Linked DNA regions of Sus scrofa. The main gene of each other region encodes a partner of the protein of the gene in region 4 in a complex. Links are inferred from orthologs where the notes say so. Each region holds a gene or a part of one and is shown on either strand. Other genes may lie near its edges. The genes, in order: NELFE, PHAX, PPARGC1B, NCBP1, NCBP2 and NCBP3.

Evidence for each region.
Region 1: the proteins of NCBP1 (region 4) and NELFE are in contact, whole or in part, in a crystal structure (PDB 5OOB), measured with the Homo sapiens proteins. The link is inferred for Sus scrofa from reciprocal best matches to the Homo sapiens genes NCBP1 and NELFE. Residues at the interface, in NP_002477.1 of Homo sapiens: Tyr461, Lys511, Lys557, Ser558, Ser560, His561, Ser564, Lys568, Ile609, Arg610, Gln612, Cys616, Lys647, Met648, His651, Glu705; in NP_002895.3 of Homo sapiens: Arg362, Ile365, Val366, Tyr367, Ser368, Asp370, Val371, Tyr372, Gly379, Phe380.
Region 2: the proteins of NCBP1 (region 4) and PHAX are in contact, whole or in part, in a cryo-EM structure (PDB 8PNT), measured with the Homo sapiens proteins. The link is inferred for Sus scrofa from reciprocal best matches to the Homo sapiens genes NCBP1 and PHAX. Residues at the interface, in NP_002477.1 of Homo sapiens: Cys380, Lys381, Pro384, Pro388, Gln389, Leu391, Ala392, Thr395, Phe417, His420, Leu421, Asn423, Phe424, Gln425, Arg427, Trp428, Ser429, Asp432; in NP_115553.2 of Homo sapiens: Ile114, Asn115, Asn116, Ile117, Trp118, Gly119, Val121, Leu122, Glu124, Gln125.
Region 3: the proteins of NCBP1 (region 4) and PPARGC1B are in contact, whole or in part, in a crystal structure (PDB 6D0Y), measured with the Homo sapiens proteins. The link is inferred for Sus scrofa from reciprocal best matches to the Homo sapiens genes NCBP1 and PPARGC1B. Residues at the interface, in NP_002477.1 of Homo sapiens: Glu26, Asp29, His30, Ser33, Leu34, Lys37, Val38, Lys41, Ser42, Ala43, Cys44, Asn49, Gly52, Leu53, Val56; in NP_573570.3 of Homo sapiens: Tyr1006, Glu1007, Ala1008, Met1009, Asp1010, Phe1011, Asp1012, Leu1014, Leu1015, Lys1016, Glu1017, Ala1018, Gln1019.
Region 5: the proteins of NCBP1 (region 4) and NCBP2 are in contact, whole or in part, in a crystal structure (PDB 5OOB), measured with the Homo sapiens proteins. The link is inferred for Sus scrofa from reciprocal best matches to the Homo sapiens genes NCBP1 and NCBP2. Residues at the interface, in NP_002477.1 of Homo sapiens: Glu32, Cys36, Leu71, Thr74, Val75, Arg77, Leu78, Leu79, Ser324, His325, Trp326, Lys327, Glu328, Arg329, Lys330, Ile368, Val370, Met371, Thr374, Glu378, Asn415, His419, Ser422, Asn423, Gln425, Lys455, Arg458, Leu459, Ser460, Tyr461; in NP_031388.2 of Homo sapiens: Gly4, Leu5, Leu6, Lys7, Leu9, Arg10, Ser11, Asp12, Ser13, Tyr14, Glu53, Glu54, Gln55, Tyr57, Glu58, Leu59, Lys62, Ser63, Asp65, Lys67, Ile69, Tyr89, Asn96, Arg99, Tyr100, Asn102, Gly103, Thr104, Arg105, Leu106.
Region 6: the proteins of NCBP1 (region 4) and NCBP3 are in contact, whole or in part, in a cryo-EM structure (PDB 8BY6), measured with the Homo sapiens proteins. The link is inferred for Sus scrofa from reciprocal best matches to the Homo sapiens genes NCBP1 and NCBP3. Residues at the interface, in NP_002477.1 of Homo sapiens: Lys330, Ile377, Glu378, Cys380, Lys381, Pro384, Pro388, Gln389, Ala392, His420, Asn423, Phe424, Gln425, Arg427, Trp428, Ser429, Glu431, Asp432; in NP_001107590.1 of Homo sapiens: Glu572, Asp574, Glu576, Leu577, Gln578, Ala580, Trp581, Gly582, Leu584, Ile585, Lys588, Glu589, Arg592.

What each region holds. Positions count from the first base shown.
Region 1 is NC_010449.5:24,043,788-24,048,727, forward strand, and holds the start of NELFE (negative elongation factor E), read right to left. Parts: upstream 3,146-4,940; 5' UTR 3,038-3,145; intron 2,599-3,037; 5' UTR 2,591-2,598; coding exon 2,516-2,590; intron 814-2,515; coding exon 744-813; intron 643-743; coding exon 497-642; intron 1-496. UniProt on the Homo sapiens protein: Essential component of the NELF complex, a complex that negatively regulates the elongation of transcription by RNA polymerase II.
Region 2 is NC_010444.4:129,712,183-129,716,967, reverse strand, and holds the start of PHAX (phosphorylated adapter RNA export protein), read right to left. Parts: upstream 3,326-4,785; 5' UTR 3,132-3,325; coding exon 3,036-3,131; intron 1,525-3,035; coding exon 911-1,524; intron 1-910. UniProt on the Homo sapiens protein: A phosphoprotein adapter involved in the XPO1-mediated U snRNA export from the nucleus.
Region 3 is NC_010444.4:150,917,034-150,921,345, reverse strand, and holds part of PPARGC1B (peroxisome proliferator-activated receptor gamma coactivator 1-beta), read right to left. Parts: intron 3,567-4,312; coding exon 3,466-3,566; 3' UTR 1-3,465. UniProt on the Homo sapiens protein: Plays a role of stimulator of transcription factors and nuclear receptors activities. Activates transcriptional activity of estrogen receptor alpha, nuclear respiratory factor 1 (NRF1) and glucocorticoid receptor in the presence of glucocorticoids.
Region 4 is NC_010443.5:239,502,334-239,506,645, forward strand, and holds part of NCBP1 (nuclear cap-binding protein subunit 1), read left to right. Parts: intron 1-1,356; coding exon 1,357-1,513; intron 1,514-3,573; coding exon 3,574-3,681; intron 3,682-4,261; coding exon 4,262-4,312. UniProt on the Homo sapiens protein: Component of the cap-binding complex (CBC), which binds cotranscriptionally to the 5'-cap of pre-mRNAs and is involved in various processes such as pre-mRNA splicing, translation regulation, nonsense-mediated mRNA decay, RNA-mediated gene silencing (RNAi) by microRNAs (miRNAs) and mRNA export.
Region 5 is NC_010455.5:133,176,372-133,180,726, reverse strand, and holds the start of NCBP2 (nuclear cap-binding protein subunit 2), read right to left. Parts: upstream 2,562-4,355; 5' UTR 1-2,561. Other genes in the region: PIGZ (GPI mannosyltransferase 4), read right to left, coding at 2,643-4,204. UniProt on the Homo sapiens protein: Component of the cap-binding complex (CBC), which binds co-transcriptionally to the 5' cap of pre-mRNAs and is involved in various processes such as pre-mRNA splicing, translation regulation, nonsense-mediated mRNA decay, RNA-mediated gene silencing (RNAi) by microRNAs (miRNAs) and mRNA export.
Region 6 is NC_010454.4:49,887,145-49,891,456, forward strand, and holds part of NCBP3 (nuclear cap-binding protein subunit 3), read right to left. Parts: intron 4,088-4,312; coding exon 3,933-4,087; intron 2,192-3,932; coding exon 2,030-2,191; intron 800-2,029; coding exon 564-799; 3' UTR 1-563. UniProt on the Homo sapiens protein: Associates with NCBP1/CBP80 to form an alternative cap-binding complex (CBC) which plays a key role in mRNA export. NCBP3 serves as adapter protein linking the capped RNAs (m7GpppG-capped RNA) to NCBP1/CBP80.

The DNA.
Region 1 (4,940 bases), on a different chromosome or scaffold from region 4:
TTTCTTTTAACTCTTTTATATGTTTCTTATTTGACTATGTGTTTTTTTTTCATAAATAACTTAATACACACTTAAAGCATGTAAGTTATCTAAGAATGTTCTGGAGTTCCCTGGTGGCCTAACGGTTAAGGATCTAGTGTTGTCACTGCTGTAGCTTGGGCCATGTGGCATAGGTTCGATCCTTAGCTTGGAAATTTCCACATGCCATGGATGTGGGCAAAAAAAAAAAAGTCTTGGATCTGATGACATTTCTATCTCGATTCAACTTCTCAGAGTATGAGGTGGATTAGAGCCAAAGAAAGTGTAAAATAAAGAAGAATCTAGGAGTCATCTAGCTCCTTCATTTTCGAGGTAAGAAACCTGAAGCTCAGAATGGCAGAGCAATTGCCCAGGACTGAACCAGCATTACTTTCCCCCTAAACCTACCTCTGTTCCAACTTGGCAGGATCCCTCTGAAGTCACGGATGCCCTGAACCATCTTTCTCCCTGTGCTCACCTTTAACTTCCCCTCTAGAGTTCGAGAACGTTTGAAGCCCGAGTTCTTGGTCTCGGCCTTGATGGCACTGATGGCTCCTGACTTCACCAGCTGCTTTGCTTGCTCAGTTGCTGTGGCCGTGTCCACCACGGGCTGCTCTGACAGAGCTGGAGTGGCGGGGGAAAGAGGCTTTGTGTTGGCCAGGCTGTGACAGAGGTCGGCCTGGGCTCCTCACTTCCGGTCTATCCCCACTTCCCCTGTCACTCACAGCGTTTGACACCACCTTGGCTGGCAGTGCTGCTGCTGCTTTGCTTCTTCAGAGCCAGCAATGCCTTTTTCTGGGAATGAGAGTGAGAAGAGAGGGGTCAGTGAGGGCCAGTCCCTGCCCAGGTCCTCTCCCAAGGCCCCTGGGCACATCACTCCAGGGGACAACTTTCTCAGAGAAAATAATGCAAATGGTGCCCCTAGAGTGGCACACTGAGGCAGCCCTGCCTCTCACATATGGTCCCCCAGAGCATCTACAATGCTAACAACACCTAATCTATTCAAACCACAGTATCCAGAGGCTTTCCAGAGTCTCACGTTTCTCAAGTCGAAGACAAGGGGTTTAATCATAGACCAGAGTCTGCAGATACAAGCTGCAATTAAGTGTAAGTCTCCATGCCTTCTTGGGGGCTTCACCTGTCCGCCCCCTAAACGTTTAATCAGAAAGAGCATCACTAGGAATTTCTGTAACAGGTCTATGCAGAAGTATGAGACGGAAATCCTCCCCTCAAGAAGCTTAGAGTTTGAGAAATAAGATGACCAGACTAAATTGTCAAGACTGATTAAAGAAGTGTAGACTATAGCTGAGAGCAAGTAAGACCTTCCTGATGCCCACATTAAACTGAGCCCTGGATAGAATCTACAATAACATACAGAAAAGAAAAGGCATTTTAGACAAAGAAAACAAGGCGGCAAAGATGCAGAGATAAGACTCTGGGTGTGTGTGTGTGTGTGTGTGTGTGTGTGTGTGTGTGTATGTGTGTGTGTTTTGGGATTAAGGAATAGTTCTTTTTTTTTTTTTTTTTTTTTGTCTTTTTGTTGTTGTTGTTGTTGTTGTTGCTATTTCTTGGGCCGCTCCCTCGGCATATGGAGGTTCCCAGGCTAGGGGTTGAGTCGGAGCTGTAGCCACCGGCCTACGCCTGAGCCACAGCAACGCAGGATCCGAGCCGCGTCTGCAACCTACACCACAGCTCACGGCAACGCCGGATCGTTAACCCACTGAGCAAGGGCAGGGACCGAACCCGAAACCTCATGGTTCCTAGTTGGATTCGTTAACCACTGCGCCACGACGGGAACTCCCAGGAATAGTTCTATTTGACGAGGAAGGGCTGCCAAATTAAGGCTCTTTTATAGACAATGTGAAACCACTGGCTTTTGAGAAAAAGAAGGACAGTGTTTTCTGTTTTCAAAGCACCATTTTAATAGAAGTAAAAAAGTCTGTCGAAAAAAGAAACTTGCTGAGAGACGATTACAACAGTCTAGGTGAGCATCAGCAAAGGCCTGACTGCGAGAATACACAGGAAGGAGTAAACAGAAGAAGTTACTTCAAAGGAGGAATCAAGACGACTCGGCAAACATTTGGCTACGCAAATAAGACAGAGACGAGATCTGGATTCCAAACAGCGGGAGAAGTGAATGGAGTCAGTCCTATTTGGAAGACCAAGATTAGAATAGGTAAGACCAGAGCGGCAATATATGAAGGTTATTGGCAAGATACAGATGGAACTAAAAAAAACCAAGCCTGGGATCACCAGTTCTTAGGTGGTACTAAAAGCCGGAGGAAAGGAAGACACCTCCATGGCAGACTATACAGAAAAGAGAGAAAAGCAAGTATCCACCTTGAGAAAGTCCACCCATGAAGGGACACTGAGAGGTGCCATGTCTCTAGGTATGAGCTAGAAGAACCCCCACCCCCCCATCCCCTCACACTCACCCCAGGTGTTCTCAGTGTAGAGTCTTTGAAAGTTTGGGCCATGCCCACACACACTCCCTCACCTTTTTCTTGAGTTTGTTGAATTTCTTCTGCAGAGCCTCCTCCTCCTCGCTCAGTCCGGGGGGTATCACCAACATGGTGGCTCCTGGTTCAGGGGCAGGGCCCAAGACATCTTTCTCCACTGTCACCGCCCAGGGGTCACACGCCGTCCACACTGCACCCAATCCCACCCCTCCAGGCCTGCCTACTCCTGTCTTTTGCCTCTCCCTACCCCTTGCTTAAACCAGCTGCCGTCCAAGCCCCCGCTCGTCGGGATCAACCAGCATTCCCTTCTCTCTCCGGGAATCACGGATACCAGCGCCTTGGGGCACCACGTAGCCCAGGAAGGGAGAAACACCCCCTCCGTCGCGAAGACGATGGCACCAGACCCCCCCTACCTCGCTGGGGTTAGTATGGCATTCGCAGGGTCCGAAAAGCAGAGGAGGCAGTGGAACCCGCGCAGCGCTCTCAGAGCAACGAACAGGGCAAGAAGAGAGAAGGAGCTCGGAAAAAAGGGGCGAAGGGTGAGACGGAGAAGGCCTTACCTGAGGGGGCGGCAACCGGAGCCCCACGGTCTCGGGCGGCGCCCGCGCGGGCAGCGGATCGCTGGCTCGGAGCGATGACGTAGCGAGGGGCGGAGACCGCGGTAACCAAGGCGGCTCGCGGCGCGCACACTTCCGTCCGGCCTCCCACCAGCTTGGGTTCCGCCCCTCGGTAGTGCTCGTCCCCGCCCCCAGCGGGGTGTGTTCCGGAAGTCGCCGCTAGTTCCGCGGGTTTCGGCTCCTCCCTACACTTCCGGGCTGCCCGGCAGCTACCGTGGCTCCAGGATGATGGAGACGGAGCGACTCGGTGAGGGGGCAGAAGGTGGGAAGGAGGAGGAGACAGGGAATGACCCTTGACCCCTGACCTGTGATTTTCCTCCCATAGTGCTGCCTACCCCAGATCCCCTGGATCTGCCCCTCCGCGCCTTGGAGCTAGGATGTACCGGGCGCTGGGAGCTGCTGAATGTGCCTGGGGCTCCAGAGAGCACCGTGAGTGACTTTTAGCTCTAACCTAACCTTGACCCTTATTAATAGGGCTTAAAACCCCTTTCAGCCTTCTCACAGTAGGGTCTAACCTGACCTGGCTCACCTGTCTCTGGACACCTGTCATCCCAGCTTTGGACTGGTGCGGGATGGATCCCAACCCAGTCGACCTGCAGTGCGTCAGAGCCCATGAGAAGACAGAGCAGGGAGCCCTGGGGATAACTTTAGCTCTGAGAACTGCTCTTTCCAGTGGGTCTTTTCTCCCTGGCATCTTCTTCTGTCTCCAAGCACCAGGGCACTTGTTGGTGGCTGATAGGTCAGCCCTTGAGCACCTTCGGTTTTTCATCCTTAGGTCTGGGGCTCCTTTTCCTAAAACTAGTGATTATCAGAATCTGTGTGCCTCATGATTAGAGGGGGAGCTTTCCTAAATTAGAAATTCTTAGGTCCATCTCCAGAAATTCTTTAATCCAAAATCTATATTATTAAACAGCTCTCCAGATAATTCAGTTGCAGGTCAGTTTTTCCTATAAAGTAGGACAACCTTTGGAAACTATTGCTTCAGCCTAATTGTCCTAGCCTGTATGGGACACCTACCATTTCTGATCTAAACATGAAGCCCGTCACCATCTCTTTTGTCTGTGTCTTACTCTCTTTCCTTGCCTCATGCCTCTCGTCTTGCCCTGTTCCAGCTTCCCCACGGCCTCCCACCCTGTGCCCCAGATCTGCAGCAAGAAGCAGAACAGTTGTTTCTGTCCTCTCCAGCCTGGCTGCCTCTGCATGGTGTGGAGCACTCAGCCCGGTGAGGAGTCTAGAGGGGCCTGGACTAGGGGAAATGGGTTCCTGAAGGAAGTTGAGACAGAGGAGAAAGAGCTGAAAATTTCTTTCTGTCCAGAAAATGGCAGAGGAAGATGGATCCCTGGTCTCTCCTGGCCGCACTGGGGGCCCCAGTCCCCTCCGACCTGCAGGCCCAAAGACACCCAACCACAGGCCAGATACTAGGCTACAAGGAGGTAAGAGGTCAGGGGCCACAAGAAGCAGAGTTGGGAAGTGGGGGGGGTGGGGTGGGGGGGTGGCGGCCGGAGCGGGGGGTTGTCAGAGGCCAACTCAGCCTCACTGGCGCTCTGATCTCTTGCCTCAGGTCCTGCTAGAGAATACAAACCTGTCGGCCACAACCTCCTTATCTCTTCGCCGGCCACCAGGGCCCGCCTCCCAGTCCCTGTGGGGGAATCCAACACAGTACCCTTTTTGGCCAGGTGATGCTTGTGGAAATGGGATGGTCGGGGAGAGGGAGCCCTTATTCTCCACCCCCCTGAGTCATGGCCACCCCATGAATCCCTGTTTCTCCAACCTCTCCCCAGGTGGGATGGATGAGCCTAGCATCACAGATCTGAGTACTCGGGAGGAGGCAGAGGAGGAGATAGAC
Region 2 (4,785 bases), on a different chromosome or scaffold from region 4:
TCTCCACGGGAATCTGGGTCTAACCTGACTGCAGTTCTTGGAGGACCTCCTGGGAAAACACGGGTGAATGTGGTTTGTTGTGGGGGAAGGGCACTGGAAGCAAAGCTCTCGGGAATATTCAGCAACTTGCCTTTCTCTGGAGGTGGCCATTTTGGGAAAATCTGGCCCCACCCATCAGCACTGAGAAGTCCCAGAGCAAACAACAATCCCGGTGGGATCAAAGCCCCGCCCATCAGTAAACGGGCTGCCTAAAGACCCCCCCAGCACACAGCCGCCTCTAATCCACCCAGAGACAAAGCCCCACCCACCGGAGGGATAGGAATCAGCTCCACCTACCAGTGGGCGGCATCAGTCCCTCCCATCAGGAAGCCTACAGCAAGCCCTGCCCCCCACCAACTTCAGCCACAAGGGGAGCAGACACCAGAAGGAAGAGAGGCTACAACTCAATTATCTATAATATTCCTCAATGAAGTTGTTTTTTTTTAAAAAAAAGTCATGAATGCTTGATAACACTCCAACATCCTCACTGATTTAAAATCAGTGATGCATTTTTGGGCGTTCCCCCGGTGGAGGAGGCATTAAAGATCCCTGCCCTGGGAACTGGCATAGGACAAAGGCAGGGCAAAAAAAAAAAAAGAGAGACGTGTCTTACTCAAAGAGTTCTATTGCACTAAGTGGAAAAAGTTGCCAAAAAGTTTATAAAAACCTGCAAAATTATTCTATCAGGTCTGTCCAAATTTAAAAACACCCAAATATATGCATATAACCATGTAAGCTCAGTGTTCACGCCTTGAATTTTAAAATCTCAAAAAGGAACACCCATCATCAAGATACTTGGAATCCATGTAATTCCCTACAAATGGAAGAGAGTTGGTCAAGTGCTCACTTGCAGCCAAACGTAAATGCTCACCTGAAAGAAATTTCATCAGCCACTTTCTCTTGAGAATCATCCTCTGTGATCTCATATCGGCCTTTATAGTTCATTTCTAGTCTGTCTCCTAGTCTGTCTTTGACAGGTCGCTTCCTTTTGAGATGACTTTGCCCGTTTTCCTCCTCCTTTGATCCCGTTTTTTGGCCACCGTGCATATATTCATCCAGCTCTTTGTCTAATTCTTTTGTATGTTCTTGAGCTTCCCTCTTAAGTTTCTTAGCAAGCAAGTAATTGTAGGTCTCGGATTGTCGGCTTCTGTCAATAGTGCCCTCCATTCCCAAGATACCAAGTTCAGTGGCCACTGCATCTTGATTCTGTTCCTGCAGCACTGCACCCCATATGTTGTTAACCCTCTTCCCTCCAGCAACAGGTGGTTTCTGGCTGCTCTGGCCAAACTGAAAAGGCTCTGGTTTGGGAGGAATATTGAAGCATTTCTGTCGCTTGCGTTTCCAGAGAGAGCTATCATCATCTGAATCTGAAAAACTCTCTTCACTTGAATCCACACTTTTCACAGTCCGATAATGTGATACCGGCGCACACACTGCTGCAGTACCCGGGAAGGGCCTCACTGCGCAGTCCCCACCTAGTGCTTTCTGCAAGTCAAAGAAAATACAATCAACTCCACAAAACACATTAACTCCACTCACTGTGTGCTACTAAAAAAATTAGAGAGGTGGCTGGACCATTTTGAAGTAGAAATCATCCTCGAAGAGCTCTGAACCAATCTAGTCCTTGCATTTCTAAAGGTCTACAAGTAATTTTCATTTTTAAAGCCACAAATTCTTATTTCTCCATAGCTAATGCAGCACTTAGTTCTAAGGCCTCTTTCTAAAAATTACCAAAGCTCAATTCTCACCTTTAGAAGATTTTTAATCTTCTCAGTTATTGTCAGTATGTCATTTGAAATTGTCTTAGACAGTAATCATAATAGCGGTTAAAACAGAATTTGTTTTCTTTCTTTCCAAAGATGCCTGCCATGCACCTGGACACAGCAATAACTTTATACGGTTTTGTAATTATGCTTCTTTCAGACTAGACAATAAACTCCTCTATGGGTAGAAATTTCTGACAAAATACTTTTAAAACCGCAGAGTTCATGGCATTAGGTTCACTAAGTCATGGGTTAATCTATGCAATATAAACTAAAAGATTGAAAAATAAAAATATCTTGGTACCGATTTTCCTAAGACATTTCTATGCAAAAGCAATCACCTTTACGTTAAACAATTTGTTGAGTTCCTATTATATGCTAGAAGTGGGAGTGGGGAGATTCAGGTCAAGAAAATAAGTCTTTTAATCTTGAAATAATAATGACACTAACCCCGGTCGGCCATTACTCAGGCTCCTCTGAAACCTTACAGCCTATCAGTGCCATACTATTATCATTCCTATTCTAAAGATGGGGCCACCGGCTAAAATACCCATCACCCGGTGGCGGCGCTAGAATTTGAAAGCGGGCAACCAGGCATTTAGAACCACAAGAGCTTGCTACTTAGTAGGGCGGTAAAGACAAACACCTACGTAGAAAACTAGGAAGCTAACACAAAACCTAGTGCCACATTATGGCAAAACGGAGCTTCCATAGTCTTCCATGGGAATATGAAAGACCAGGCCCCTGAGCAGGTGATGAACTTCACCCCAGGTCTTCACTCCCTATCTGCTCAGGGCGAAAAGGAGCGCCAAAAGCTGTTTGCGGACCGATGTCCTCCAGTTCTATACCTTGGGCAAAATCTGCCCGTCTGGGAGAACCTAGTGGCGCCGATGTGGGGAAGCCTGTAGGTTTAGAAAACGCGGAGCGGATCACGCGAGGCGGGGAAGAGATGGTCGTACGCCCGCCTCTCAAGAGGCCGCACACCTCGTGGGCCCCGCCTTGCAAAGAGATGCCGGCGGGGCTCAGAAGGCCCGCTGCCGCCGCCACCCCCGCCGCCGCCCCCCGGGTTCTGCGCGCCGCCGACTCCTCAGCTCCGCGCGCCGGGCCGGAGGACGCCCGCCGGGCCCTCACCCTCCCCGCCAGGCCGGCTCGCGCCGAGGGCCGCCTGCGGCTCCTCGCAGCCAGGGCTCCGCCCTCCCAGCCCAGAGTCACCCGGCCGTCCTCCGCACTCACCGGCACCGGCAGCGGCCTCTCGCTGGGTGCCACCGTCATGTCGGAATCCGAGTCGGAAAGCTGCCCATCTTCCATGTCGCCGGCCTCCTGCGCCATCTTCCCGCGGCGCCGCGCAGCGGGCCGGAGAGCACTTCCGGCGGGGCGGCGGGCGGGTCCGGCGGGCGGCGGCTGCTCGGGCGCCCCCGCGAGGGGGCTGTGGCAGCCCCGGCGGCCGGTGGGGGCTTGGCCCAGACGCCTGGGTCGGGATTCGCAGATGTCGCCTCGTCATTGCACAGCGTTCCCTGGCGCTACTCTGGGAAAATGGAGTGCCCTGCAGCGCCAGCATTCTGGCGCCTTTTCTTCTGACCTGTTTCCTTGTAACCTAAACCTGCGGGCGGATGGCAGCCTTGGGGGATTCCTTCCTCGGCCTCACAACGCTCACCTGGATGCTCTGTGCATGCCTTCCTGCTTCTACTTTTGCTCCTCTGAGATCCACTCTGCGTGGAGCTTCCTGGAGAGCCTTCCAAACGGGAGGTGAGGTCGCCGCCCTGCTCAGACTTTCCAGGGCTTTCCCCCACACGCTGAGTTCACTGCACAGCCAGCAGGGCTGCAGGTGTGTCCCTCAGTCTGGTGTCCCTCCCCAGCGGCTCTTTAGCCACACTGTCGCTGCTCACGCTCTTGTTCCTCAGGCAGCCTTTGTCCTTTCGCCGCCCCAAGGCCTTTGCTGTTGCTGTTCCCTCTGCCTGGCAGAGGCTCAAACATCCCGACACCCTATTCTTACCTAGGTTATGCTCTCAGATGATTCAGAATTCTGATAAAATAACACCGGTTTTTCTTTTCTTTTTTTCTTTTTTAAATGAGAGTGCAACATTTCAGGTTCTCTCTTGGTTTTTTTGTTCGTTTTTCTTTTTTGCCACCCAGGCAGTTGTGGGAATTCCAGGGCCAGGGATAGAACCTACAACCACACAGCTGCAATCAGAGCCACAGTGGTGAGAACACAAGTGCCTCAACCCGCTAGACAATCGGAGAACTCCCTGCCACCTTTGTTCTTTGTAATTTTATTGTAGTTGACTTACAATGTTGTATTAGTTTCAGGTGCACAACAAATAAATGCCACCTTTTAATAAAAGGTGTTCTTTGACCACCCTCGCTAAAATAGAGTCCTCTACTGTCATTCTCAGCCTCTTTTTTTTTTTTCCTTCATGGCATCAATTGCCATGTGTATTTTTCTTTCTCGTCTGAGTTCCACTAAAATGTCTGCTTTATTCACTATTTTTCCCACCTATGTCCAGTCAGGTGACTTCCTGTATATAAAGATGGTCAAGAAATATTCATTGAATTTTTTTTTTTTTTTTTTGCATGAAGAGGATCTTATTTGTACCCTTTACTATTCTTTATTTTTTTTATTTTTATGGTCAGGCCTGCAGCATATGGAAGCCCCTCCCCAACCCCGCAACCCCCCCCTCAAAAAAAAATATATATATATAGCAGCTTATTCTGGACTTATTCTATATCAAAATATAAAGATCTACCCCCTCCCCCCCTTTTGCCTGTGCTGGAGGCATATGAGTCCCATGGTTAGAGATTGAATCTGAGCCTGCTCTGAGCCTGCTCGGCAGCCTACACCACAGCTGTGGTAACACTGGATCCTTAACCTGCTGCACCACAACAGGCACTCATTTAGCTCCCTAGATGACTCCCTAGTTTTCCATTGCATGCAGGTAGCATCATTTATTTAGTCTCTGATGGAGTATGTAGGTTTAAGGTGTAG
Region 3 (4,312 bases), on a different chromosome or scaffold from region 4:
ACCGCGCTGTCACGCCTCCCCCGCCCTCAGCACGCAGACGGCATCAGCTCGAAGAAACCACAGCAGCCACAAGCACAGGCTTGAGGTGAGAAAGATTTCCTATCCCGCCCCTCTCCCTGCATCGGACCTGGGGACGCAGCCTGTGCGGCCCGGAGGCACCCTCCCTTCCTGCCCCCGGAAAGGCCCGGCTCTCTGCGGGGTGCGCTCCACACCCAAGGCTTCGAGGGCGCCCAGCCGATGCAGACACCTGACTGCTGCTATGTCGCAAAGCTGTGCTGGGGGGACATGGGGTGACGGGGTCAGGGAGCGGGGGCCTCAGCTGCTCTCCAGCCGCTCACGCTCCACCGCCGTGATGCATTTTCCTTGGGTAACCAGAGCCCTGGAGAGGGATCCGATCCAGCCTCGTGGCGGCTGAGGAAGGAGATGGAAGAATTCCACTCAGCAGCTGAAAATACTGCCCGGCCCAGGACGACGGTACAGGCTTCCTCGTGGGGGCGCTACCCACACAGTCTACTGCAGGCTTTCAGGGCAAGTCACAGGTACACATGACGGCGAGCAAACGCTAGCACAGACAGCCACACCGAGACGGCTGCCAGTGGCAGCTGCTCCCTCGGGCCACCCCTTCGTCTGGGGACAAAGGCCATGGTTGCCGAGCTTTCCTTGGAGTCTCCTTGGTGAGGGAGACTCAGCACCGAGTAAGTCTTCCAGATGGAGGCTGGCCGCAGGCCCGGGCCGTGGCAGAGCCTTTCATGCACAGACGACGGGAAGAAGCCGCTCTGTGCCCGCGGCCGGCGCCCTCCCCTAGCAGCGGCCCCGGCCGGCCGTGACCTTGGGCTCCTCCCATCCCAGCGCGACCTCAGATCTCTGCTCTGCTCAAGGCCAAAGTCTAACTACCTGCGATGCTCGTCCCTCCCTGAAAATCCGCATCCTTCACCCTCCACTGCCATCTAGCCGCGCTGCCATCAGGACGAGCCAGCGCGGGGCAGAGGTCATGCGCTCCGTCTCCTTGTGACACACAGAGGCTCCACGAGCGGAAGGGACACCGCGAGCCACAACGTCACAGAGGCAGCTCTTGGTGGAGCCAGGACTCAACCCAGCTCTCCAGACCCTGCGTGTAACTGCGTCCCCATGAGCTTCCACGCGACAAAGACTCAGTTTACTGCCGATGCAGAGCAGACCTTAAGGGGGCATCGGGTGGACTGAAGTTCTAGTCCACAGCCATTTATTGTACGCCTACTGGATGCTAGGCAGTGAGCAGCTGGAACAGGAATTGAGAGTGCTCAGCCCGTGCCGTGGAAAGCCCCCTCTGGTCCATCCCGACAAACTGACAAACGCTGCCTTCCCAAACTTGCTTATGGCCACTCTCCCACCTGGCTCCCATCCCCGGGTGGGGTTACGTGGCAGAGTAGTGCTGGGAGTCCTGGGCCAAGGAATGGCTTCAAAGGAACTTTCTCCCACAGATCAGGATGTGACAGAGAGGAATGGGCCAGCATGACACCCGGCCACCGTATGGCTCTGTAAGACAGGCACCTTTCAAAGATCAGACCAGGACGTGAAAGAGGCGGAACTGCAGACCAATCAGGGACGGCTGCTCAGAGCACAGAGCCGAGGTCCCAACAGCATGAGCAAGCTCAAAGAACGCGAGGCCTGGGGCCGACTGGTTATGTCTGCCACTGGCAAGGATGTGGGAGTGGAGGTACGTGTGCCACGTGGGACGCTCAGCTGTCAGAGCCGGCAGGGCTAGTTGTCCCCGCCTCCGCGCATCGCACAGCAAAGAAAACTGGGGCCCAGAGGGGCTGTGGTTTGATGCACAGGAACTCAAACTCCCCTTCCAGGCCGGTCTCCTCCACCTCCTCGGGGGGCCTGGCGTATCAGCCCAGTGAAGCTACTGAGGTATTTTATAATCTTAAAAAGCAACCAAAAAAGCCCCATAACGACCAATTCTCAAAGAACGAGGCCCGGTATTAATAATGGATTAAATCAGCTAGTTTTTGTTTAATGAGTCAGTTCAAACTCTAAAGAAAAGCGGCAGGACCGTTCTGCTTCTTTCTTGGACACACAAAAGCTTCCCGAGGAAGCTGGGCGTGAAAGAGATGCACCTGGAGCCGCTCTGTCTGAAGCAGAGAAACACGCTCGCTTGGCCTGCCCCAAGGCGACCCCCAAGGCACCCACGGGACACCCCGGACGCGGCTTCGACGTCACTCAAGAACACGAACCTTCAGTCAAGCCCAACAGACCGTCCGGGAATCAGCTTGGAGACTGTCTTATCACCCACCCCGTGCCCCCTGCCCCCAAACAACGACCCGTGTGAGCAGGGGTGAAGCCAGGCTTGCTCCCAGATCTGTCCGCGTCACGCCCACGGCGTCACTGAAGCCCTGGTGGCGGGTCCACAGCTGGAGGCGGACGGCAGGACCCTTTGGATCAAGGCTGGTGCCGGAGCCTGAACTCGCCCCGTGCTGACGAGACCGCCGTTGACGGACGCCCCAGGGTGAGCCTGCAGGCGTCTCGCCTGTGGTCCTCTTTGGCCGCCCCAGCTCTGCCAGGCCCTGCAACCCCGCTTCTTCACTCCAGCTACTGAGGGAGGCTGGGACCAGCGATCGGGAGGCCTGGGCTCCTGGGCCGGGCCAGTGCTCTGTAATCTCACTGGTCGGGGGACCCCGGGGCAAAAGTCACCAGCCTCCTGCCTCACCCCCCTCTTCCCTAAGATCCCGAGGATCCGAGCCCTCAGGGCCAGGCACAAGTTCTCAGCGAGAGCCGGGCACCAGACGAGGGCTCTGATTCTACGCGGACCCGGGCTCGCTCAACGAGACGCGAGGCAGGGCCCGCAGGAGAGGCCCTGAAACCCCTCCCGGGCTCCTGGGCTGGCTGCACGCCACACTCCCCGGCGACCAGCCCTCCGGCCCCCCAGCACCTCTGGGGCCCTCTGGCCAAGGGAGCAGGGCAGCTGAGTGGCAAACATCTCACGACAGTGCGTAGTTAAAAATCAAGGAAGCAACAGGACGATCCCAGGCACAGGACACCTGAGCCATAAACACATCACTTAAAGGATATACTTTTGTTTTCTTCAATTAAAAATGAGTTTATAATCCTGATTCTATTCACGAGTAACGACTTCGTCACGCACTACAGACGGAAACGCATGGCGGACACAGCTGCACGTCTAGGAGGGGCCGTCGGTCAGGAGGCGAGGGCATCCCGGACAGCCCGTGGGAAGCGAGGACGCTGATGTGGCAGTGGAGCGTGCACACCGTGGAAACTCACACAGAAGCAGCTTTGTTCAATGTAAACATTGATTATTCTTTTAAAAGGACAGCAGTTCCCCGTGTCTCTCTCTCTCTCTCTCTCGCTCGCTCGCTCTCTCGCTCGCTCTCGCTCCGTCTCATGTCCTTAATTTCTCTGAAAGCGTAAACAGGTTGGAAGGGCCCATCTGAGGTATTGAGGTTTTCCTCGAGGTTAAGGCTGTTGTCAGTGCAGGCTCTGCTGGGCCTCCCTCAGCAAGCTGTCGAAATCCATGGCTTCGTACTTGGTTTTCACGGATGCAGGCGGGGCCTCTTCCGAGTTGGCATCTGGGCGGGGGTGGAGGAGCCGGTGAGCGACAGAGAGTGGCCGGCAACACCTGCCACCAGGGCCAGCCTCACGGAGCGGACGCGGCCAGGGAACTCGGGGCACCTGGCAGCGGGTGCGGACTCCGCCATCCTGCCGGGGGCCCTGCGCCGTGTCACGGGCGAGTCAGGGCCGCGGCCGCCCCGCTGGCAGGATGGAGAGAGGCCGCACCAGGGCCCACAGAGCTCCTCTCCGGCCCGATATCCTCCGCACCCCCCCCCCCTTCCTGCCCATTGGCAAAACGCCTCGGAGGACACAGAAGGCAGCCCCCGCCCCCCATGAAGCTGAGATGCCCTGTCGCGTGGCTGTGGAACTGGGTCCCCGGGGCGGACACGCGGTCAGGGGGAGCCAGGCCTGGCTGGAGCCCCCAGGACTCCCGACACTCAGGCCTGTGCTACGGACGTGACATCAGACCCCTCCCACAGAGAGCTCGTTCCAAAAGGGTGCTTCGCCTTCTTCGCCGACTTGTCCCCACAAGAGGAGAAGGCGCGGGGACAAGGCCGCTGCACTGCAGCCCATGAAAGGACCCGGGGCAGGGTCCCGCAGGATCCCGAGCGGCCAGGGGGGCAGGGGCCATGGTTGCGCCAGGGCGCTGGGAGCACAAGACTGGCCCTTCCCAGAGGCCCCCACAGGCCTCATCTCTTTGGCACCAGTCCTGGCCCAGGACGAGACAGACCAGAGGCCGGAGGAAGGTGGGGACGGCGGCCTC
Region 4 (4,312 bases):
TTGCTTACAGCTCAATTTTAATTTAAAAATGTACACACGAATTGAAACTAGCAGTGGATTTTACCTTTTTTTTTTTTTTTTTTTGTCTTTTTTGTCTTTTTAGGGCTAGATATGTGGCATATGGATTCCCAGGATAGGGGTCGAATCACAGCTGTAGCTGCCAGCCTATACCACAGCAACATGGGATCTGAGCAGCATCTATCACCTACACCACAGGTCATGGCAACGCTGGATCCTTAACCCATTGAGCAACGCCAGGGATGGAACCTTCATCCTCATGTATAGTAGTCGGATTCATTAACCACTGAGTCACAACGGGAACTCCTCAGATACAATTTTTTGAAAGAATCCAGTCAGTATTCAGTAAAACATGTCCTTAGGCTAGAAAACTACTAAGAAGAATTACTTTACTGTAGTTATGCTTAGATTCCTTCTGTTCTGAAAGCATTTATTTGAATGGAGTATATTTATGCTTAAACTCTAAGGGAAGCCATGACTGAGGTGGGGAAGGGTAAAGATTGAATGGTTACTATTAATGCAAGTTATTTTTTTTTTAAACCTAAATTGTCCTTAATACTCATGCTAGGAACTTTGGGAAAACACAAAGTGTAGGAGATTCTGAATGATCATGAATTCATATTTGCTTTTCTTTTTGAGCTAATTTCTGAAGACTGCCTAAATTAGGGGTCAACATTACCTTTTTCTGAAGTATGACTATAATCCTCTTCTCTATTTTTCACATAACTTTAATGAAAATTAACACTTAAGTAAGCAAACTGGGATGTAAAGACATCTTACTACATTGGGTACCATGTTAGAAATTCAATAATTTAACTGATAGAAACTGGGTTTAGTTCTGAATTTTTTCTAAGCAACTAGAGTAGTATTTCTCAAAGTGGAATTCTGATCCCATGACAGTTGGTCTGCGAAGTTTAGAAATTTTGTATGCTCTCTCTCCCCCTTATTGATTCTGCATTGAGGAAACTTGTTTCACAGCAATTTCCAGGTATTTTACCATAGAGACCATTTTCTGTAGAACTGCTATTCAGTTCCACTAAGCACATTGGAAGAAAAACTAGTCTAACATTAGTTATATCTTTAGTTTGATGACTTCACAATTAAGAGTGTTTAACTTTCTTAACTTGTGGATTAACTAGAATTAAAATGAAAAATTTGAGGGGGCCATATCTGCAACTCTATTCAATATTTATGCCTTTTCTGAAGTAGTTTTTAAAATATAGCTAAATGTGATGCTTTTCTAAAATTATAAAAATGATAAAATTTATATAATGTAAAATTCAGAAACTTAATGCTATTGTTTTGGGATCTTCTTGTTGTTCTGGGTTCTCAAATTAGTGCACGTCTGTTACCTGAGAAGTTGACAATTTATACAACACTAGTTGGACTGCTGAATGCCAGGAATTACAACTTTGGTGGAGAATTTGTAGAAGCCATGATTCGTCAACTTAAAGAATCGTTGAAAGCAAACAATTATAATGAAGCTGTATATCTGGTAAGTTTTTCGGTTTGGGAGGCTTTTTTGATATGATATGTTAGTGTTGGAATGGAGGGAAGAGGTGAGCTACAACCAAATAATTTATCTTTTCTCTTGAAATACAGTTCCCCACTCACCACAACAGCTGCCCTTTTGAAACCATTCTCATTAAAGGTACAGAGCTCATTTTACCAAGTCCAGTGACTTTTTTTCACTCTAAATCTTGGTTGACCTTCCTGCAGCATGTGATGCTTTGTACTGCTTTCTTAGTCTCGGTTTTTGCAGCACCTCCTTTTTCAGGACCTCGTGCTGCTACGTACCTTCTTTTTCTCAGTCTCCTTTTACTGGAGCAGCTTCCTTTGTCCCTTAAATTTTTGTCTTCCCTAGGATGCTGTCCTCACTGCATTTTCTTCCAAATACTCTTTCCTAAAGCATTCTCATTCTCTCTCATAGCTTCATAAACTACCTTTATGTTGAGGACACCCACACACACCCACACACCCCAAATCTGTAATCTGTATCTTCACTTCAACCTTTCTCTTGAACTCCAGACCTATGTTCCAAATACTACCTGGATAGCCCTAAGGTATCTTGCCTGGAATTCCCTGAATTAATGAATTATTCATATCTTCTTTCCTCTGTCCTCACCCCAACCTGCACAAATGGCTGCTAGTTACTGGATAGTCCATCGAGAAGCCGGAGCATTCGTTTTTGTCTTGCCTTTGCCCCCTCTTACTCCGAGCAGTCCCCAAGTCCTGTCTAGAGTTCTTCCTCCAGTCAGTCCCTTCTCCGTTGTCTCCAGGGCCTCTAATATAGTTCATGCCTTCCTCCTCATGTCTCAGTAGCCTCTTAACTGATCTTTTTACATCCAGATTCTCTACCTTTCACTTTATCTTCTACAGTGACACCAGAGTGGTCTTTCTGTAACAAGGTTCTGTTCGTATTGGTTACGTGTTAAAAACCTCAATTCCTTCCCATTGTCTACAGAGGATGGTTTTCAAAGCCATGAACAAGATGATGCAGGAAGTAACTGTTAGAACTCTTATTTATCTTAAATGGAAATGGAATTAAGCCTTATTAGTTGTATACATAGATTGACAATGGGCCAGTGTATATTATAAAATATATAATATATATGTTGGAAGTATGTGATCAGATTCTTTTCTGTTGAGTACACAAAAGAATTTAGACACCCATCAGGCTATAAGGTGAAGTTCAGATTCTTCATTAAGCCTGACCCTCAGTGGTTGCACTAGTCTGTTTCTGTTTGCCTCCCATATATCCTCCAGCTGTATCAGAATATTTGCAGGTCCCTGCACCATGTTTTTGAACTTCTCTGCCTAGACCCTCTCCTTGCTCCCCGCTGGAGGACAACTTTACTCATTCTGTATGACCTAGATGGATTGTTACTCCCTTAAGATGTTTTCCCCTCTCTCTGTATCTCTGTTTCTAGAGCACTTTTTAATTTATCCTTTAGTATAGGATTCATCCTTTTGCGTTGAGATTTGGCTTGTCCCACTAGACTATTAGCCCCCATATGACAGAGACTCTAATATGCTCAGCAGTGGCACACAAAGGACACCCAATAAATATCTTTTCATGAATTTCCATTTCTGTTGTCCAGTGAAAATTTCCTTCACAGCCAAACAGCAAAAGTTGTAGTAGCTAGAATATTACAGTTTAGGTTCTTATTCCAGTATAAATGTGAAGCTATCAATGCACAGACTCCTGTCCCTCCTGTAGTCTATCACAGCTACTCAGCTCTGCTATTAGAACATAAAAGCAGCTGCAGATAGTATGTAAATAGATGAGCATGGCTGTGTAAAAGTTGATTTGTGGACACTGAAATTTACTTTTGTAACTTGTGTGAATCAGAATATTCTTTTGGGTCTTTTTCTAGCATTTAAATATCTAAAAACTACTCTTAGTTCACAGGCTGCTTAAAAATAGGCATTGGGCTAGATTTGGCCCTTGGGCTATAGTTTTTCAGACCTGTGGTTTCAACCTTTACGCAATTGCTTGTTTTATAATTACTATAAAGGGCATTTACATTTAATAGAAATTGTTTTACCCAACAGGTCCGTTTTTTATCTGATCTTGTGAATTGTCATGTCATTGCTGCTCCATCAATGGTTGCTATGTTTGAAAATTTTGTAAGTGTTACTCAGGAAGAAGATGTGCCTCAGGTAAGAAGACCCCTTATGCTGCTTCTTGTCCATACAGTACCAGGTATTTTCTCTTTAGTATGGAATCTTATCCATACAGTACCACGAATTTTTCACCCTTTAGTAATTAAAAAAACCCAAAAGATTCACGGCAGGTTATCACATTATAAATTCTTAACATCTAGGAGTTCCCATTGTGGCTTAGCGGAAACAAACCCCACTAGCATCCATGAGGATTCAGATTCCATCCCTGGCCTCACTTGGTGGGTTGAGGATCTGAAGTTGCCATGAGCTGTGGTGTAGGCCGGCAGCTGCAGCTCTGATTCGACCCTTAGCCTGGGAACTTCCACATGCTGCACCTATAGCAAAAAAACTTAATATCTAAAAATTAGGTCAGCTGGCTTAATGGTGGGTTCTCATGACATCTGTATTTTAGTTAAATGATCCATTCTGGTAAGATTAAAACTAAGGTATCTAAAAATACTCTGAATGAGCCAGATATTTTCTTTAAGCCCTTTTAATTAGTGTCCATAGGATTTCATTGAAGAATAGATATACTATGTATGAAAATTCACTTGTACCTATTTTAAATATTCTTTAGGTGCGGCGGGATTGGTACGTGTATGCCTTTCTGTCGTCCTTACCCTGGGTT
Region 5 (4,355 bases), on a different chromosome or scaffold from region 4:
ACGAGAGCAGCTTGTTCTCCATTTTCCTAATGGTCAGAGTTCTGATTTGACACACCACCCTCCAGTCTTCCCATCACAGGTGCTTCTGTCTAATCCTCTCTGAGGTCAGTGTCCCACTCTCCTAAGGACCCAACTTCTAGCTTGGCATCCCACCTCCTGTGCTCCCTCCCCCAGACCAGAGGCAACTCACTGGATTCTCCTTTGAGCTTGTCAGCAAGGAGCCCAGGGAGCTTGTTCATTCTATTGCCTTGTGTGCCTCATCAGGCAGTCCCACTCACTATTCTCTGGATCTGGGTATAAGAGCAACAGAATGTTAGCAGTCCTCAGCCCAACCCCAGCCCTCAACATAAACAAGCACACTCGCAGCTGGGTCTTGACCGGCAGAGACAAAAAGAAGAGTGCAGGGACCAATGACGCTTCTGGGCAAACTGGCCATTTTGTAGGAAAGGAAGGCAGGCAAGAGAAGGAACAGTTGTTTACTTTTTGTGGAAGAAGAGTGTAGGAACCAAGTTCCCTCCATTTTGGTAGGAGTCAGAGCAGAAAGAAAACTGGGTCCTTTTTGCTCCATCGGGTTTGGATGCCTCCCCTCTTCGTTAGAGAAGCGTCCAGTGTCTGTAGTCAGCGGCTTGTCATCCCACCAGTTACCCTATTACTAAAGAAACCAAATTCTTCCCACCATTCCCCATGGCAACCATCTCCCAGCATGCCTTCCAGGCTCTTCTAACCTTTGCCAGAAAATGAAGCAGGGAAGCAACTCATTCCACTATCCTGCAGGGCAGTTCCTAATCACCCCTTGATGCCACACAAGTCTCGATACCAACACTTTACAGACAAATTTGTTAGAGCTCAGACCACTACAATCTGGAAGAGCTGTTACACCAACAGCACCTCCAGGGAATTCTGAGGTCGTGAACCCAACTGGGGGAGGGAAGAGACAGAAGTCCCAAGAAGCCCAGAGGAATTTGAAACAGAGTCTGGGGGATCTCCAGGTTGCACTTGGCTTTTAAATGTTGGGCAGAAAGGCCTTCTTTGGCTGCAAAGTAAACAAGTGCTTATCAGGTGCCAGAGATGATGCTAAGCACTACAGGTGAGACAAATCCGAAGTTGCTAGCAGAAACGTGAACCACAAGAACAATGAATTATCCTGAACGGGTACTAAAGAGGGAAATATCCACAAGTGTGGTCCTTGGCGTCTCCTCCCAGCTTAGTTCAGTAACATCATTTTAGTAGTTAACAATTGGCCATGGTGAGCGTGTTACACCACAGAAATCACAAACGCTGCAGATCAGGGCTGTTTTGCCCCCAGAGAACACTGACCAGCATGGCACTGACTTTCTTTCCCTTGGAGTCCCAAGGAAGGTGTGGCACTAGAACCCTAGCAGTAGCTGCAGAGCAGCCCGCCTAGGAGGGCCTTTAAGATGACCCAAGACTTTAGCTAGCAAAAGGCAGACTTAGAAAAGCACTCAGGTTTGGTCACTTGCACAAGTGTGTCTCCTGCCTGTGCTCCTCCAGCGTCCTCCTCTCGGCCTGGTTGCCTCTTGTTCTCATGAGATGGCGGGAGAACGAGAACAAGCTTAGTGCCACCACTTCTCACATTCCCAGCGGGCTGTGTTTTGGGGAGCGATGTGCCCAGGTGTGATGGCTTCTACCAGGCAGCAGGCGTGGATTTGGTATGGACTTCGCTCTCCGTCCTGTGAAGGGGCTTCAGACAGGGGCTGGGGGCTTGGAGAGGGACCAGACCACGTTTAAGGTTTTGTGCTCAAGCACCACCAGATACTGAGCCTTATGTCTTCATTCCCACTGGGGCCGACCCAGGAGGGAGAACATCTGGGCTCCCTGATCCCCAAAGGAGATACAGAAATGTCCTACCACCTCTTTCTGGGACACGAGTAAGAAGAGAGTTGCAGGAGTGGGCGGCCAGGGGCGTTCCAGAACTACTCATTTTGGTAATAAGTACTGAGACAGCAGGCACCGAAGTGCAGTTAGATACACCACACCCACTTCTCTGCTTAGAGCTTTGGGAGAGACATGCCCATCTAGCCAGGGGATGTGCGCTGCAGGCCCAGGAACAACACAGTGTTGGGGGGCAGACACCTCAAAGACCCTCTGATCCACTGTAGAGATGAAAACTGAGGCTGGGTGAGGGGAAGGGGCTGTCTTACCATGTAGCCAGCAAGAGCAGACCAGGGCCTGCAACCAGGTCCGCCGCTCTTTACATCACCATGCTGCCTCCTTCCAGGAGAAAGAGGCCAAAGGGCTGTCATGACAGCAAGAGCTAAGGCATCCTAGGGGGGCTGGGAGAAGTCATTCAGGACGTCATTAGGAGATTGCTGTCTCCTTTCACAACCAGGTGCTATTTACGTATTTCAACATCACAGTGACTGGAAGGGGTAGGGCAGGAACAGACATTTGGCATTATTGATTATACCAGGTTCTTTGGGGCCCTTGGCATCAGGACTGTGACTGGTCCTCTCTTTGGTCTTTGAGGGAAATGGGGTATCAGTTTCCCCAGAAGGCGGAGTGGTCAGAGGCTGTGCATAGGAGAGGCAATGGTGGGAATTCTGGAAGGGAAAGGAAAGGAGGAGAATCAGGGCTCTGTCCCAGCCCAGCCACCCAGGTAGGAGGTGGAGAGACGCCTTTACCTATGGCTGAGTCCCAGCCAGTGGATCTGCTGTCATATTGTCAGGCTGCTCCCCGAGCTCCAGGATGTGAAGGCTCAGATGTTCCCTCCAAGCCCCACTCAGCAGGGAGGACAGGGCTGGTGGGTCTTCCAGGGTCAAGTGGGGAAAGATGAGCGCCTCATTCTTGAGGGGGAAGCTGCACTTCTTCACCGCAGGCCTGGTGGTGCCAGGGGTCACCACAAAAAGGCGGCAGAGCCATGGCCCACCCGCCACCTGGCAGGCTGGTTGTCTGGTGAAGTTGTTCAGGGCTTGACACAGGAGCCAGTCCTCACTGCCAGCCATGTCCACCACCTCCACTGGTGACCCCAGCCCGGGGAGGTGGAGGAGGTGCCGGGGGGGCATGTAGGTGTGGGTGAAGAGGAGTGTGTAGCGGGTGGACACATGCGGGAGCACAGGGGCATGAACCACCCGCTCCAGGTGCCCCAGGCCAGGCACGAGGCCGCCCTGGTGCAGGCAGCCAAAGAAGAGGGCCCCTAGGGCATTGAAGAGAGCGAGGGTGCCCTTGCAGGGTGCAGGCTGGGTCTGTGGACTACAAAGCAGGACCAGGGGGACCAGGAGGGGAATCAGGAACCGAGCCTCCTGGTGGCTAAAGGCAGACAGCAGGGCCAGGGGTGTGAAGTAGATGAGCAGGAGGTGAGACCTGGACTGCAGGCGCCAGGCATCCAGTGCTCTTAGGAAGCCCACCCTTGCGAAGGCCTGGAGGCAGGCTCGCAGCTGTCGCCACGCAGCCTGCAGGGCATGGGCGTGCAGCACCCCAAAGAGCAGGAAGCCATTGACTGCCAGGTGAGTGAGCTGCATGTGTGTGCCATGCCTCGCCAGGTTTACAGGGTCCAGGTTGTAACGCAGGAAGTTGGCAGGTGTAAGGATCAGGGTTCTGGGTCTCGATGGACTGGAGAAATACCAGCTGTCCACAGCCACAAACACTGCTGCCGTGAGGGCCGCCCCTGGGAGCAGCACCAGGGCTTCCTTGGTCAGCGACCTGAAGCTGGGGCTTGTAGGTCCGTAAGTACCCCAGAGGAAGAGGGGGACCAGAGCAAAGGCCAGAAAGGTGGGCCGGTTGAAGAAGCCAGCAGCCACAATGCCCCCAAGAAGCCAGCTGTGCCACCACGGGCCTGGAGCAGGCTTCTCAGGTGTGGGGCTCCCAGCTACACGGGGGGATACCAGCACCAGCAGCCACGCAAAAAGCAGTCCCTCGATGGCATTGGAGAAGGTCCTTGTGTAAAAGACCAGGGTGACGTAGGAACCAGATAGCAGGACCAGGGCGCTCCAGCGCTCCGCCCCCCAGCGTGGGGCCAGGTGGTACACGGCCACGTCCAGGGCAAAGGAGAGGGTGGTGAGGAGGAGCCGGGGCCCCACCAGCAGCACATAGCCACTCACTGGGCCAGGCCAAGGCCCCCACTCTTCCCAGAGCCTGAGCAGCCAGAAGGCAGAACCAGAGGTCAGCAGTGGGAAGACAACTGTGCGGCAGGGGCTGCTGGGCTGAAACTCCCAGGGCCGTGCAGCCTCTATGCCCAGGATGTCCTCTGCAGAGAGAGAAGCAGAGGTGAGCCAGGTCCAAGCTCAGAGAATATGGAAGACAAAATTCTAGGGTGGCCCCCAAGATTCCCCAGCCCCACTGTGTACATGCCCCACACAATCCCTGGGACCATGAAGATGACAGATTTTACTCCTTTG
Region 6 (4,312 bases), on a different chromosome or scaffold from region 4:
GCTGCAGCTCTGTCTACCTGGCGGCACTGGTGCACCTCTGAGGTCAGGTCCATGAGGCTCGGCCCCCACACTAGGGTCCTGGAAGGGTGAGCTGGCAGCTTCCCTCATCTTCCCCCTCGAAGGCTGTCCAATAAGCACCTGGGAATTGACTTTTCTTGGAAAAGGGTGCTGGGAACAGCTGTCAGGGCCAAGGCAATAGTGAGAAGTTCAGTTCTCTGCTCTTTGGATGAACTGTGTAAAACATTTCTTTTAAAAGACACAATGTTAAAAATATTAAGAAAAATGTCTACAAAATCTGGAGGGCTGCCTTTTCCTCAAAGGGTAAAGCTTGTGGGGCGGCGGGAAAAGAACCGAGGGCCCAGAACTATAACATCTGCAGCAAAAGATGAGAGAGATGCCCTTCAAAACACGTCACATTCTTAGGATGTCCTGCTGATGGAGCAAGAGCGGGTGTGACTGTGTAAGACGAAGGGCGCCAATGCCCGCAGGCAGGGGTCCCCCTGCGCGCCCCACCCAGCGCAAGGACGGCAGGCTTTGGGGCAGCTGCCTTGGCTCCAACGGCATCATGACTCTGCCTCTGAACCAGAGCTGCTTTCCCGACTAACTTCAATCTGGAGAGATGGTAAGTTATCTAACCGGCTCTTCTTTTGGCGAGACTGTTCTTTCTCCTTAATCAGAGCCCCCCACGCCCTCTGCAGCTCCGAGTCATCCTCCTCAGTGCCGGGCGTCCTGTGATCCACTTTCTTCGTGTTCTTTTCTTTGGTCTTGGTTGCAGATCCTAAGCGAGTCCATAAACTACCTGTTTGGGTGAGAAGGCATTTCAGCTCTGGTAGTCGATGCTGAGAAACAGGGCTACTGTCAACACCTGACATGCAAGAAACACGGGGGGATCTGTGGCACTTGCAACCACGATGCAGACCTGGGCAGACGGCCTCATTTCTCTGGTGCGGTGTAGACCGAGGGGACTGGACCCAGCAGGAGACTCTCACGGCTTGCGGATATGTGCTTCCCACGCTAGCCACACAGAATCGCCTGGGAGCCTGCTTATGCTACACCTGCCCTCTCCCGGGGAGACTCCCCATGCTGTGCACAACTTCATTCTGCCAGGAGTGGGCCATTCCAGATCATTCCCAGGTAAGACTTTGGGCAAACTGACAGGCCTGCATGCTCTCTGTAAACTTTCAGATTCTGACCACTCTTCATTACTTTTTTTTTAATTTTATTTTGTTCTGTTCTTTATCACTTTATTTATTTGGGCCACACCTGTGGCATGCTGAAGTTCCCAGGCCAGGGATCAAACCCGCACTACAGTAGTGACTAGAGCCACAGTGGTGACAAAGCTGGATCCTTTACCCACGGAGCCAATAGGGAACTCCATTATTTAAAAAATATTGATATTTAATAGAGAAATACATGTTTTGAATTCCATAGGATAGTCACACTCTAAGACAATTTAAAGTTTTACTTGTAAAGACAACAACAATGTGGAAAAATGACTATGATAAGATGATACAGGAGTTTCAGTTGTGGCGCAGCAGAAATGAATCTGACTAGTATCCCCGAGGATTCGGTTTGATCCCTGGCCTCGCTCAGTGGGTCAGGGATCCGGTGTTGCCGTGAGCTGTGGTGTAGGATGACAGCTGATTCCACCCCCTAGCCTGGAAACATCTATATGCCATGGGTGTGGCCTTAAAAAACAAAAATAAATAAATAAATAAATAGCTTAAAAAAATGCCGCAGGAACAGAGCAGGACATGTATACAGGCAAAGACTGGAATAGCATCTATGAAACCATGCGCTAAATAGAAAGAATCAGGGGTGGGTTTTCTTTTTCTCCATTTTCTGTATTTCCCATTGTTATCATTACGATGATGGCGTGGATGACAATGATTATAACGGAAGAGGAAAAATAATTTATTCTTGTCTTACGCTCTTTCCTGCCTTCTGACAGCGAGTGTTTCCACGCTCGCCCTCGGTGTCTCTGCCCTGACCCAACTCCCACGCCCATCACTTTCAAGTGTTTACCAACCTGATTTCTTCTCCCGAGTATCCGAGTAGAGGCCTTTAACGTCTTGCCTGGGAACGCCGAGCCTACTATGGACATCAGAAAAGGGCTCTCTCCGAACGACCGGATTACTACTAAAAGGCTTTTCTGGAGAATATGGTCTTTTTCCTAATCGCTGGCGTATATCTACAAAAAGAAAACACAAAGTACTACGGTGGCCACAGGCGTATGCGTTGCTGTCTGTACTCACCCCGAGGTCTCTACAGGTCCTGGTGCAAATCTCCCCGAGTAAAGGCATGGGACCCGACACAACCAAGCTTCTAAGAGCCTTCCCTCTTCACAGTCAGCCTGGACCCACCCCCCCAGCAAAACTCGAATGAGAACCCCCAGGGGCTCAAATAGGGAAAAAAATCTAGGCCAACTGCTCCAGAAAGGAATTTCTGAGACAGAATAGACTGCTTTCTGTGTGTGTGTTTGTTTTTTAAAAGTAGAATCAAGCATGGAATTCCTGTCGTGGCTTAGCGGTTAACCAACCAAACTGGTATCCATGAAGACATGGGTTCGATCCCTGGCCTTGCTTAGTGGGTTAAGGATCCGGCGTTAGGTCAAAGAAGAGACTCAGATCCCACGTTGCGGGCAGCTGTAGCTCCCATTCGACCCCTATCCTGGGAATCTCCACATGCCATGGGTGCGGCCCTAAAAAGACAAAAAAACAAATAAATAAGTAAAGTAGAATTAAGCAGAGCAAATAGTTTATAAACATTTCAACTAACAACAAATACTGCGAGCTCCCTCAGGGTGGAAGCTGCAGTCTTTAAACATATAAGAAGTTCTCAATAAAACTATTACATTTTACAATAAATGTAATGAGCCTGACAAAAAGCAAAGGATCAAAGGAGTATGTCCCAAATGAGATTGGTTTGTCTTGTAACCACTGCCTCCCACCCCCGCCTTCGGTCCAGGAAATCTGCCTGTCCCCTGAGCTCCCTCTCACAGGAACAGCACAACAAAAAGGCAGACAGGAGTGGCTGTGCTGGCCTTTCACTCATCCTGCTCTCTGAGAACAGCGTCCCCGTCTGCCAGCTGCTCAGGCCTGAGCCCCTTGGCTTCTCTCCCTTTCCTGCCACACCTCCCAGGGCCGAGTCGTCTTCCTTGACACGGTGTGCCGTTCCCATCAATCCTGTCCCCACTGTCCCTGACCTAGGTCAGGCCCTTGCTTCTTACTTAACTCTCTATTGCACCCTACCCTGCCACCAAGTTCTTTCTGCAACAGAGAGAACATCATGTTACCACCCACCTCAAAAAAATCAGGTTGGCCAACTGAGAGCCTACGTCCTCTGCAAGGCCTCGCTCTACAGCCACGACCTCTGAGAAGCCTCCCGCAGGAGATCTTCCCCCAGGTGGCCGACCGCCCCTCTCTGCTCCCACAGGCCACCGCTTACAGTGTCCCCCCCTCTGCTCTGGGTGTAATTATCCGAATGGGGGCTCTACTGCTTTCCATCTGCGTTCTGATGATGAGTTCGCACCCCCTGCAGAACTCTGACGCTCCTGGCACCTGGCCCTGGCACACAGCGAGCAGGGCCGAGGATTCACTATAAGCCTGTTTGCACATATAAACTAACCAGTTCAAATGCTTAACCATTTACACCGCAACCCAACTTAATTTCTACTGTCCTTATGTATAAAGTACACCAATGACATACAGGGTAGAATAACTGTTTGGGACAAAAATATTGAAAGCCAGTACTGCAAAGGTCTGATTAAATTTCACGTCCTAAAATCCCAATGCGTAACCTAAAATTTAGAAGTGATTAACAGCACAACTAAACTGGTCCACAAATTATAACATTTTATCCAAGAATCTATCCCTGCCCCGAATTCCTTTCTGGAACTCAGAATGAAGTCCAGAAACACAACGGAACAATACCTGTTTTAGTATTGCTGCTTGGTGGCCGTGGACGTGTGTGCTGACGTTTTTCATCTAACAAATGTCGGACATCCGCAAATTTCTCAGGCGGTAATTTGTTACCAATTCGGTTTTTTATATTGCTTGTGGATAGAGTGTCTGCCCTCATGGAGTTCCTTGAAAAAAAAAAAAGGGCGGGGGAGGGGCCCTCGTAAACCAACTCGGCTGTGGAATGACACGAACACGACAACCCACACACGGTGGAAGAAACCTCATCCGATACGGCCGACATTCACTTACAAACACCGCACACCACTGACTATTCGCTTACAAAAGTCACGATGAGCCTGCTGTAAAGAGGCCGGCTGGCGTGAGCAGATCCCTGAGTTTTCCGGAGTGGT